3 linked regions of the Oryctolagus cuniculus genome follow. The protein of the gene in region 3 interacts with the protein of the main gene of each other region in a pairwise test. Links are inferred from orthologs where the notes say so. Each region holds a gene or a part of one and is shown on either strand. Other genes may lie near its edges.

Region 1 (3,645 bases), on a different chromosome or scaffold from region 3:
TGTTGACGTTACGTTTCAGGGTCTCCAGCTGCTGCCGCTCAGGAGCTGTGATCATCTCCTCGATCTCCTGCAGCTGTGCCGCCTCGGCGCCGGTAGCCTGCATAGACGCGATGATGGCTTCCACCCTCTGGGACTTCTCTAGTAGACGCCTGTTAGACACAACTCTGAGGCGAGTTCCCAACACCGGGGATTCTCTTACCCCTCGTCTCTGAGGAACAGCTCCCGCTTCCCCCTTTACCACATTCCTGGTCAAGGCTGCTCTTCTACACATTGCACTGGGTATGTAACTTGACTCCTGAAACGCTTACTGTCCCTCACTTCCCCTCAGTTTGGTGCTGTTGTATGTTTCTCATAAATTTAACTTGCGAAATTATGTCATCGGAGGTCTATCAGGAAAGTGTAGGTTAATGCACGATGCATGCCCACATTAGCCAACAATTCAACGCTACAGACTGGTTACTGTCTCTATTGCTATAGACTGGCTATTGTCTCTATTGCTGTAGACTGTTATTGTCTCTGTTGGCTTCCATTTCTACTGGAAACTTCCCCTCAGGCCTTTGCTTGAACAATGTGAATGACTCAACTGAAAATGCTACTCACTTGTTCTCTTTGGTTTCAAACTGCCTCCTTTCTATCAAATTGGCTATGCTCTGAGGAAAGAGAAGAAAAGCACACAACTCTGTTAAGTAGCACAGGTAAGCTGGGATCAGGGGCCTATGGGTGAGCCATGTCTGGGGGAGGGGACGGGGAGCTGGTGCAGTGGGGTTACCTTGTAGCACCTGTGCAGTAACATTCGGGCAGCTGAGAGCACGTTCACAGTGTATAAGTAGAAGGTCCTGGAGGGGGCGTGGTCTGGCGTTTTGGGGATTTCCTGTTTATCAAGAGGGAAAAATGAGAGGAACCACAGCACGCTTCACAGCTGGCACTGCAGAAGCACTGCTGCCCGGAGCCGCCTAGCCCGCCTTTCCCTCGCACGCTCGGCAGTCCCCTGCCACTCAGCACCTGTGTTCCTGGTGCGTGGCTAGTCGCGTGCTGTCCATTTCACCTCCAGCATTCTAAGTGGCAAAGAGAGGGAAGGTAACTGACATTTACTGAGCAGCGCCATGTGCCGGGGAGGTTGCAGCTGATCCTTCTAGCAGGTGACATTATCCTACTACCCTCGCCCATCAGCATGTTAGAGATGGGAAACATGACGGTAGGTAACTTGCTCAGTGTAACTGGGGCAGAGGCTAAGCTGTGATCTGACTCCAAAAGCTGTTCTTTCTGCTTCTTCACAGACTCTCCTGCATGGCTCTGTGTGCACCCCCAAATGCTGTGAACAGATCTAATCCATTATCCATTTAAGTCATGAGGAGAGGGCAGGGTAGCTTTCCGGTGATTTCGTGGCTGTAACTCTTCCTATCAGGCCAGCTAAAGCTCCACATTATCCTTCACGTGCTTTCTACGTCTTATGAGTCACTTCTTCTGTCTCTAAGCTGGGTACAGAGCTTGTTTCAGGGTTCAGGATATTTTTTGTTTCGGAGTTTTTCTCACCCTAGGCCAGCTTTGCAGGTTGGCAGTGATTACACCATTGGTTACCTGGAGTGAAATGAAATTTTCTGACAGCATCTTATAAAGCATATCTTTTGCCTCCTTTGCAGGAATCATTGCAAAGTCTTCTACCTGCTTCTGCTCCAAGTGTTTCTTTTGCAAAACTAGACGGAATATTCTGGCACAGCGAGATCCAAACCTGGAAAGGAATGAAGAAAGCAACTGTGCATGCTAACACATATTAGCTTCAGCTCCTAACCACAGATGGTGATTGTTCTCTTCCATGTGTGCGGCAGACCAGAGAGGAACAGTGATCACGGATTCCTTTCACAGCTCCACATCACTCCACAGCGATGGTACTGTTAATCACAGTAAGGTAGTCACCAACTGTTGACTTGTGTGAGTGCCACAGTTCTTGCATGTGCCACAGGCTTAGGGAGGCTAGTTAATCTGCATCACTGGGAACTAAACAGATCTGCTAAGGCACACGGTAAAACAAGAAAGGATCCATAACAGTCCAGTGGGAAAATGGAGCAAAGTGTACCAAGGTGTGCATATATTAGCTGTTTACATAGTGGCCAAATTGCTTGTTTGAGTGGGGTATAGATAAGGAGGGTCTCATCCCAATCCCAATCAGAGTGACCCCTTACCTCTCCTGTACGACGGACTCCAAAGTGGCTGTGGCTAGGGATGCTAATGCCTTGTGGAGGTCTTTATGTAGAGGATTAAGGTCACTCACTAATGTTTGGCCTGGTCATCACTAACTTGAAGTTAAAATTTAAATGTTATTAGCCTATAAGCGTTATAAAATATTACCCGATGATTGTGTTTAAGTAAGGGGCTGGTGTGATTGCAATTTGGTTGCTGATAAGTCCGTTTCAGGGGTAGGCATTTGCTGCAGCAGTAGGGAAGCTGTGGCCCACGTTGCAGTGCCTGAGTTCGAATCCCGGCTCTGTTCCTGATTCTAGCTTCCTGCTGATGTGGTTCTTGGGAGTCAGCAGTGGTGGCTCGTGTGGTTGAGTCCCTGCCACCACGTACAAGATCTGGATTCAGTTCTGGGCTCCTGGCCTCAGCCTGAGTGAGCCCCAGTTGTTGTGTCTGGGGAGTGAAACAGCACATGGGAGATATCTGTCTCTCTTTCAAATAAACTAAATTTTTTAGAAGTATTTTTTACTTTATCATCAATGTGGTTCATTGAAAATTCATAGAAAATTACTTCAATTCAGTATACTAAACATTATCATATCCTTTTCTCCTAAGCTGTCATTCTGCTTCATGGTTCAGGCTGCCTGACTCGAAGGAAATAGCTGGTAAGGATACTGATGACATACATTCCTCCACCACTGTCGCCAGACTTCCCAACAAATTCTAGCTATTAAAAAAAAAAGAGACAAGAGAGTGTTAAGTGAATGGAAAGTCTAGCGATTCTGTTCCCAATGGAGCAAATCTAGCCAAGGGTCTACAGCAGATAGCCCTTCTATCAGATGATGGTGGAGACACTGAGCTGCCTAGGTAGAAAATGGGGCTACAGGAGAATGATACACAGTATCAGTGGCAGAAATAAATTGTAAATAGAGCAGAATAAAGGTGGGGGGAGGAGCAAAAATAAACTTACTGGATCGTCTGCCAGCAGAGTGAGATACTGATCAAGAACTTGCTTAGAGATGTTATAGCCAACAGGTAGGGATCTGAAGATCTATGTGGGAAGAAGAGGAAGTGGGTTGGAAACTTAGAATTATTGAAACAGAGATGTCTTAATTTTAGATGTCACAAATATAAAAATGTCTGGAAACAATCACAGCAGCATTGTTTGTAACAGCAAAAACTGAGAAACAATCCAAATGTCTGGTACTAAGAACTGACAGCAATAAAGGCCATCTCAGCCCTCTGTGGAAAATGATACGGCCATCACAAAGAATGAGGATGAAAACATGCATGAGACAGATCTACAAATACTGACATAAAACAAGTTTTACATATACTGTCAGATGAAAAATTGTACAACAATATGTATAGTCTCCTTTTTTAATTTAAGAAATATATACACATAAAGCTAGACTACGTCTATAAAAAAAGTCTAAATGGAGATACACACTATAAACTATCAACACGGAT
Region 2 (3,610 bases), on a different chromosome or scaffold from region 3:
AAGCAAAAAGATACATGGGGAGAGAGAGAGAGTGTCTGTGTGTGTTCCCCTTCACTGGTTCACTCCCCACTGCCAACAACAGTTGGGGTTAGGCCAGGTTTAGGCTAGGAACCAGGAGCTCAATCCGGGTTTCCCAGCTGAGTCCTCACCTGCTGCCTCCCAGGGATGCATTAGCAGGAAGTGGGAGTGGGGCAGAGACGGAAATCCGGGCACTGCTATGGTATTCGGGCACCCCAAGTGACAGCTTGACCGCCAGGGGAAAAGCCTACCCCCAGAGGACATTTCAGATATGCTTGCTCTCTGACCACAGAGAAGAAATGGGAGTTACTTTCTCACACTGGCCACAGACCTTGTTGGCCAAGAGCAGGCAGGGCACGGGCTCTCCATTGGGCAGGGTGAGCTTGCTGTCCAGGTCCTGTTTCCACCTCTGGCTGTTGCTGAAGGTAGTGGCGTTGGTAACGTCAAACATGATAACACAGGCGGAGGCGTCCCGGTAGTACAGCCGCGTCATGGAGGTGAAGCGCTCCTGCCCTGGGGAGGAAGGGCCGCCCTCGAGAAGGTGACCCCACCTGCCCACCGGCCCTTTCTTGTCGGAGAGGCCTCACCCGTACGCGACACAGGAACCTTCTGACTTGCCCTCTCCCACTCCTGGTCTTCTCTCCATCCCACAGAGGGCCTACTAAACTCAGTCATCCCCAAGGCAGACTCTGCTCCCAGTCTCCCACTCCAGATCTGGACTCAGTTACTGTTATTTGTGTGACTTGCTAAGTGCTTCAGATTTCTCGTGTGTGAAGTGAAGTCAAAAGCAGTTGCTTTGGGGCTCGTGTTGTGGCACAGTGAAAGGTTAAGCTGCCACTAGGAACACTGGCATCCCAAACTGGAGTGCCAGTCTGAGTCCAGGCTGCTCAGCTTCCAGTCCAGCTCTCTGTTAGTGCTCCTGGGTAAGCAGGAGAAGATGGCCCAAGTGCTTGGACCCCTGCCATCCCTGGGGGAGACCTGGATGGAGTCCTTGGCTCCTGGCTGCAGCCTGGCCCAGCCCCGGCTGTTGCAACCATTTGGGGAGTGAACCAGTAGACGCAAGATCTCTCTCTCTCTTTCTCTGTCACTATGGCTTTCAAATAAATTAATAAATCTTTTTAGAAAATCAGCTTTTATGATAGGGTTGTTGGAATTAATGAGTCCCTGAATTAAGAAAATTTTATTCTAAAAGTTTTTACTAACATGTAACACCTGTACATTTTATTTATTTATTTATATTTATTTTGGAAGTCAGAGAGAGATCTGCTGGTTCAATCCCCAGAACGTCACAATAGCCAGCGCTGGGCCAAGCCAAAGCCAGGAGCCAGGAGCACCCACATAGGTTGCAGGGGTCCAAACACTTGGGCATCTTCCACAGCTTTTCTCAGGCCATTAGCAGGGAGCTTGACTGGAAGTGGAGCAGCCAGGACACAAACCTGCACCCATATGGGATGTTGGCATCACAGGCAGCAGCTTTACCCACTATGCCAAAATACTGGCCCCCATTTCCTGTACATTTTCATGGGGTACTATGCAGTATTTCAGCACATGTATATAGCATAAAACAATCAAATCAGGCCAGCGCCACGGCTCACTAGGCTAATCCTCCACCTGCGGCGCTGGCACCCCGGGTTCTAGTCCCGGTCAGGGCGCCGGATTCTGTCCCGGTTGCCCCTCTTCCAGGCCAGCTCTCTGCTGTGGCCCGGGAGTGCAGTGGAGGATGGCCCAAGTACTTGGGCCCTGCACCCCATGGGAGACCAGGAGAGGCACCTGGCTCCTGCCATCAGATCAGCGCGGTGCGCCAGCCGCAGCGCGCCGGCCATTGGAGGGTGAACCAACGGCAAAGGAAGACCTTTCTCTCTGTCTCTCTCTCTCACTGTCCACTCTGCCTGTCAAAAAACAACAACAACAACAAAAAAAACACTAGAATCTAGTGCTTCTTTTACTGAATATTTATTCACTTTTATTTATTTGAAAGGCAGACAGAGAAAGAGAAAAAGAGAGGAGAATCTTTCATTCCTTGGTTTACCCACAACAGCCAGGGTTGGCCAGGTCAAAGGCAGGGACCCAGAACTGAATCTGGGTCTCCCAGGTGGGTGGCAGGACCCAAGTTTTTGAGCCATCATCTGCTGTGTCCCAGGGTGCACATTAGCAGGAAGCTAGCATCAGAGGCAGAGCTGGGGTTCAAATCCAGGCATTTGGATATGGCATGTGGACGTGGTGAGGGGCATGTCTACACAGCTATGCCAAACACCGGTCCCTAGAATCTGTTATTTCTCTCTGCGTTTTGGTACCTGTTTTCCAATCTGCTTCTGTCTGCTCTCCTCCCTCCCCTGCACCCCACCAGCTGAATTTAACATCCGCAGGAAAGTGCTTGGGGCATAGTAAGGGTCCAGTATTATCATCCTGTTTTCTGGGTTCCTTGTTTCTCCTCAGAGTCAGCTGCAAACCCCTGCTATAGGAACATCCACCCCCAGTTGGGATAGTCCACCACCTTGCTAGCTCCTCCTCCTAGCCAGACGCCGCTCCAGGTCCATCCCGGGCAGAACATCTGCCCAAGCTCCCCCTCCTCTCGGCTCCTTTCCTCCGAGCAGCCCAATCAGATAAAACCTTTCTGGTCTCGCCGGCCCGCTTCTTTTCTAAGCACTTATTGGTGAGGTCACAGGCCTTCGCTTGTTCCTAGCCGGCCTTCCCAGCTCACCTGCAATGTCCCACAGCTGCAGCCGCACCACCTCCGAGTCGGACCACTGCAGCACCTTCAGCGCGAAGTCCACTGAAACACAGGTAGGTCGTATTTTAACAGAATTTACTTTTATTTTAAAAAGATTTTTATTTACTTATTGCATCTACTTGAATGCACAGTGAACAAGCGAGCAAACGAGATCTTTCATTCACTGGTTCTATTCTCAAATGCCTGCAGCAGCCTGGGCTGGGCCAGGCTGAAGCCAGGAGCCAGGAGCTCCATCAGGGTATCCCACATACGTGGCAAGGGCCCAAGCTCTTGGGCCATCATCTGCTGCCTTCTAGGGAGTGCATTAGCAGGAAGCATAGCAGTCAGGCCTTGACCGAGACACTCCATCACGGGGTGCGGGCATCCCAGGCCGGGGTTTAACAGGCTGGGCCACAATCACCCTTCCCTGAAAATTAAAAAAAACAAAAACGACAAAACAAAAAAACCACAGGGATACACTCATATCCGAGAAGCAGTTACAACCCTGGGGACACACAATTCCAAAGCCATTCGTTTGTTTATTTTTAAGCCCTCAGTAGGTCTGAATGAGCTCAGCCTGGCATATTAAGTGGGGGACAGGGAATTCCTATTCTCCAAAGGGGTGCCCGACTTTTGCTCTCCCGCCCACACAATCCATGTGACTCCAAGGCCAGGCGCAAAAGGGCAGCAGTGATTGTGAGACCAGCCCCCCTCTCTCCGTTGAGCAGTTCCTGGGAGATTTAGGGGATTTTCTCAGAGACGATGGGGGAGATGGGGAAATGAGGTGAGGGCGCTGCACTGCATCTTCTACGTTCGGTTTTACTGCTGGCTTCCAGTCAGCCTGGCTGCAGGAGTGCTCTCCAGCCGCAATGGGGAAAAGGC
Region 3 (4,379 bases):
TAATCTGCCTGGGCAAAGCAGTGGAAGATGGTCCAACTGTTTGAGCCCCCGCAACCACATGGGAGACCTGGAAGAAGCTCTTGGCTCCTGGCTTCAGCCTGGCCCAGCCCTTGCTGTTGCGCCTGTTTGGAGAGCGAAGCAGCAGATGAAATATCTGTCTCTGTCCCTGTCTCTTTGAGAAAGAACTCTGGCTTTCAAATAAATAAATAAATCTGTAAAAATAAAAAGTAGTCTTCCCCTCCCCCAACACCTTCCCGGTTGTTCCAGGATCATTTATTGAACTTTTAGAGCCAATCTGATTTTTCCTCTACATGATACCAAATTCTTACCAACATTTTAGTCTATTTCTCAATTTCCATTCTGTCCCATCGATCTGTCAGCTTATTCTTACTTTAAGCACTGTACCTTTGCGGCATTCCTATTATTTTTTCAGCCAGATGAGAAGAGAGATAAGAGAGGAGAGAAGCTGCACAAATATGCATAAATACCTTAGGTCTAATGGACTCTCCGAACAGTATGGCCCCGCCCAATATTTCTACGTTTTTTGTAAGTGGGCTAGGGTTACTGGGGTCTGGAATTTCACAGACTGGGTACTCAGAGTGTGGTTCAGAGGACGTGGGCTTGGGGTTGGCATGTCCACTTCGCCTCTCGGATCCCTCCAAACAGAAGTTCCGGAAGCAGAGGCCCTACTGCTGAGACCCAAAACCACACTGAGAAAAATCCCAAGGAAACCAGCAAATACCAAGTAGGGATGACGGGAAATCCACTGTGTGATAAGAGAACAGACAGCCCGGGATTCCAAGACCCCGGGGCACTGTGGGATTCGCACTCTGAACTTCAGAAAGGAACAAGAGGTTTTCAGGTGCCGCTCAATACAACAACCCTACGCCGTGGGTATTTTGCGGTTTTCACGGATAAACATCCTTACGGCTCAAAAATTAAACGATTAAGTCTACCTTCTTGCTGAGGTATACCGATTCTGAGGCTCAGAATGGTAAAACACCTTGCATGAGCAGAGATAGGGAGTAGCAGAACTAGGCTCGCGGTTTTTCTCCCTGCGGAAATGTTTCAGAATGATAAATACACCCATTTTTCCCCCTAAACAAAACGGCGAGCGGCAGCAAATGATGGCTCTGCTTAACAAAGTGCGTCACGTACCGGATGCAGCTCAGTTTGCAGCCCCATCCGCTAGCCTCAGGGCCTGCGCTTCCCAGTCCTACACAAAGCCAGCCCTCTCTGGCAAGGGCTAAGGCCTGAGCGCCCAAAGAAAACCTCACAAAAGACCAGGGGTCCTCAGCGCCCGGTTCGGAGGTCCCGTCCCGACCCGTCCCGCCCTGGGGCGCGCGCCCAGCCAAGCCGCCCTCCGCGGCAGGAAACAGCTAGGCCCCGAGGCCAAGAACCGCAAGCCCCGCCCCACGCCGCCCCGCCTCTTCCGGTCGCGCCGGGGCGGGGTCTCCGCGGCCTGCGGGATCCGCTTGGACGCAGCCACGTTGTCCTGCGCGCCTGGCGCGCCTGCCCCTGTGAATCCGGCCCGAGGCGCTGCGCGCCTGGCCCCCCTACCCGCGTAGCCGCGGGGCTCCGTCGGGAGGCAGCCTTCCGGGCCTCGTTCAAAGGGTACAACAGGGCAGCGAGCTGCCCGGCCGCCGGAGCCTCCCAGGGAATCCGGGCCCGAGGGGCACCGCCCTCCGCCCGCCCGGCTCGAGCAGCGACCCGGAGAGAGCGCCGGAGAGTCGGGCTCCGCGCAGAGCTCGGCGCCGGGGGCCCATGCCCGTGCGCCCCCGCCAGCCCGCGCCATGGCCTCCGGGAGCGTGGCCGAGTGCCTGCAGCAGGAGACCACCTGCCCCGTGTGCCTGCAGTACTTCGTCGAGCCCATGATGCTCGACTGTGGCCACAACATCTGTTGCGCGTGCCTCGCCCGCTGCTGGGGCTCGGCCGAGACGAACGTGTCGTGCCCGCAGTGCCGAGAGACTTTTCCGCAGCGGCACATGCGGCCCAACCGGCACCTGGCCAACGTGACCCAGCTGGTGAAGCAGCTGCGCACCGAGAGGCCGTCCGGGCCCGGCGGCGAGATGGGCGTGTGCGAGAAGCACCGCGAGCCGCTGAAGCTGTACTGCGAGGAGGACCAGATGCCCATCTGTGTGGTGTGCGACCGCTCCCGCGAGCACCGCGGCCACAGCGTGCTGCCGCTCGAGGAGGCGGTGGAGGGCTTCAAGGTGAGGGCCCCCCCCGGCGCGCGCGCAGCGAGGCGGACAAAGGGAGGGGAGAGCCACGGGGGCTTCCCCTTTTTTTCCTTGCCTAGAAAATGGCTGAGCCGGACGTGTGGTTCACAGCCGTCATTTCCTCTCTGTCCGCTCCCGAGCCTCCGCACTCGGATTTGGAGGAAAACCTGTAGCTGCTGGGGAAGCCAGAAGTCGCCCCACCCCACCCCCACTCCTATCCCTGTGTTTCCCAGATCTCGGACGCTATGGACATAAAGACGTTCCCTGGAGCCCTTCCCCCACCCCCACCCGCAAACCCGACACCCTACAAGATGTGCATAAAGCTGTGTACACATCAATAGGCTCCTGAGACACTCTGCTCCCAAATTATAGAGGAAACCCGCTCGGACGGTGACCGCGGTGTCCGAGTCATCCGGCAGATGCCCGTCACTTAGTCTGTAAGCACTTCTTGTAAACCGTCTTGTTCTAGAAGCTCATGGAAAGGAACACATTTCTCCACTGCTTGAGTAAGGCATTTCGCCATCCTGAGACACGGGAGATAACAGGTATTATGATTAAGGGGATAAGAAGTGCAAAGCCTTTTGCAAACTGTTGAACCGACTGCGGCAGCAAAACAATAACACGGAAACAAAGTATCACGTGCAAAAGAGTTTTAAGGAGACATTCCAGGCGTCCTTGATGTTGTCTGTTTGCTATGTGTTTGAGGGCTACAGGATTATACCCACAGTTTTGTCCGTGTTTAAAAGTGAATGCATTTCTGCATAGTCACCTAACATGGAGCTTTTAACTGCATCATTTCACCTGCTCTCCTTGTAACTGGAATAGGCTGGGAAAGTGGTATTTACCCGTCACACATGAGGAGAATTAGAGAAGTTGCTTCATTTTCTCAGTGGACCTCTGTGGAAGGTCTACAACTTGACTTTAAATCTCCTAGTCCAGTCACCCTAATGCTAAACTGGGTAGAGGATTCATTTAAGAAATGCACACATTGCCATAGAAGAGAGGTGGTGGCCCCTGTGCTTTGAGTCTTCTGTGGATGGTAGTGTGGTCTGAACACAGGCTCGCACCAGGCACCTGGCATCAGAATTGTAGTTTCTGTCTGTGGGGAAGCAAAACAGCCATGGTTATACTATGGCCTGCCCAACTTTTTTTTTTTTTTTTTTTTTCAGGAACAAATCCAGAACCAGCTGGACCATCTAAAAAGGGTGAAAGACTTAAAAAAGAGGCGCCGGGCGCAGGGGGAGCAGGCACGCGCTGAACTCCTGGTAAGGGCTTTTGGAATTCCCAGATAATAGCGCTTTTGCTGGTCCGTGCTTCTGTCAAGCCAACTTGCTCAGTTCTTCCAGTTGCAAGTGAAACAACCCCATGTGGCAGTGGAAACTTAACCTGGAGAACCAAGGGGCTCCCCTACTTTTGGGGAGAGGGTGGAGGAGCTGTGCTTGGGAGTCATAGATACCTGCTGGATCAGTAAAGTTTAGCTTGTTAGCTGCTTGTGGGCCAGGACTGATGTTTGGCAGACTTGAGATAGGTGAAATTCTTGAGAATAGTTAGCTGGCATCCTGTGGTGCACTATCCTTCTCACAGGTGCTGGTGATGGATTTGTGTCAGCCCCACTGGTTGACTTTCTGGAGTGTTCATTCCCCTTTCTAAACAGAGTTTTTCGCTCTGTTTTCTTTGAGCAGTCTTCCAAGGCTTTGGCAGGAACCTGATGTGCTAATTCTGATATGGGTATTTTGGAGTTTTGTTTTAGAAAAACAAAAAGTACAGAGGGTTTTATCATATACACTTACATATTTACCACCTAAGTGTTTACAATGTGAGTGGAATAGATAAAATGTTACAGACCTCTAACCATTAGAGGTGTTTGCATCTGAAAAGCAAACTCCTAGACTAGCAGTGTCTGGAATCTTGAGAGAAATTGTGTCAGTTCTAAGTTGTGTCCCTTCTAAGCAGGGAGCTCATTCCTAAGGTGTCCTTAGATTCCACCACTTGCTCTGCCCACACAATCTGCTGAGACCACAGTTCCCCTTACTTTCAAAAGAGATTTCATGGATGAAGAATATTCTTCATGAACCTGAGTCCACTTCAATCATAGTGCACACAAAAATTGTCTTCTGGGCAGGATTGTCAACAAGGAGACACAGCCGTTCTCTGAAATCC

The links. The genes of interacting proteins can lie anywhere in the genome.
Region 1: the proteins of TRIM27 (region 3) and POLR3C interact in binary tests that used the Homo sapiens proteins (3 or more experiments, as listed by UniProt). The two-hybrid records come from large-scale screens. The link is inferred for Oryctolagus cuniculus from reciprocal best matches to the Homo sapiens genes TRIM27 and POLR3C.
Region 2: the proteins of TRIM27 (region 3) and RAB29 interact in binary tests that used the Homo sapiens proteins (3 or more experiments, as listed by UniProt). The two-hybrid records come from large-scale screens. The link is inferred for Oryctolagus cuniculus from reciprocal best matches to the Homo sapiens genes TRIM27 and RAB29.

Annotation. Positions count from the first base shown.
Region 1 is NC_091438.1:49,048,841-49,052,485, forward strand, and holds part of POLR3C (DNA-directed RNA polymerase III subunit RPC3), read right to left. Parts: intron 3,227-3,645; coding exon 3,146-3,226; intron 2,903-3,145; coding exon 2,851-2,902; intron 2,841-2,850; exon of another isoform or gene 2,778-2,840; intron 2,242-2,777; coding exon 2,181-2,241; intron 1,730-2,180; coding exon 1,579-1,729; intron 1,056-1,578; exon of another isoform or gene 1,003-1,055; intron 872-1,002; coding exon 770-871; intron 651-769; coding exon 601-650; intron 150-600; coding exon 1-149. UniProt on the Homo sapiens protein: DNA-dependent RNA polymerase catalyzes the transcription of DNA into RNA using the four ribonucleoside triphosphates as substrates.
Region 2 is NC_091444.1:21,088,742-21,092,351, forward strand, and holds part of RAB29 (ras-related protein Rab-7L1), read right to left. Parts: intron 2,792-3,610; coding exon 2,720-2,791; intron 532-2,719; coding exon 350-531; intron 1-349. UniProt on the Homo sapiens protein: The small GTPases Rab are key regulators in vesicle trafficking. Essential for maintaining the integrity of the endosome-trans-Golgi network structure.
Region 3 is NC_091436.1:154,135,692-154,140,070, reverse strand, and holds the start of TRIM27 (zinc finger protein RFP), read left to right. Parts: upstream 1-1,448; 5' UTR 1,449-1,793; coding exon 1,794-2,213; intron 2,214-3,388; coding exon 3,389-3,484; intron 3,485-4,379. UniProt on the Homo sapiens protein: E3 ubiquitin-protein ligase that mediates ubiquitination of various substrates and thereby plays a role in diffent processes including proliferation, innate immunity, apoptosis, immune response or autophagy.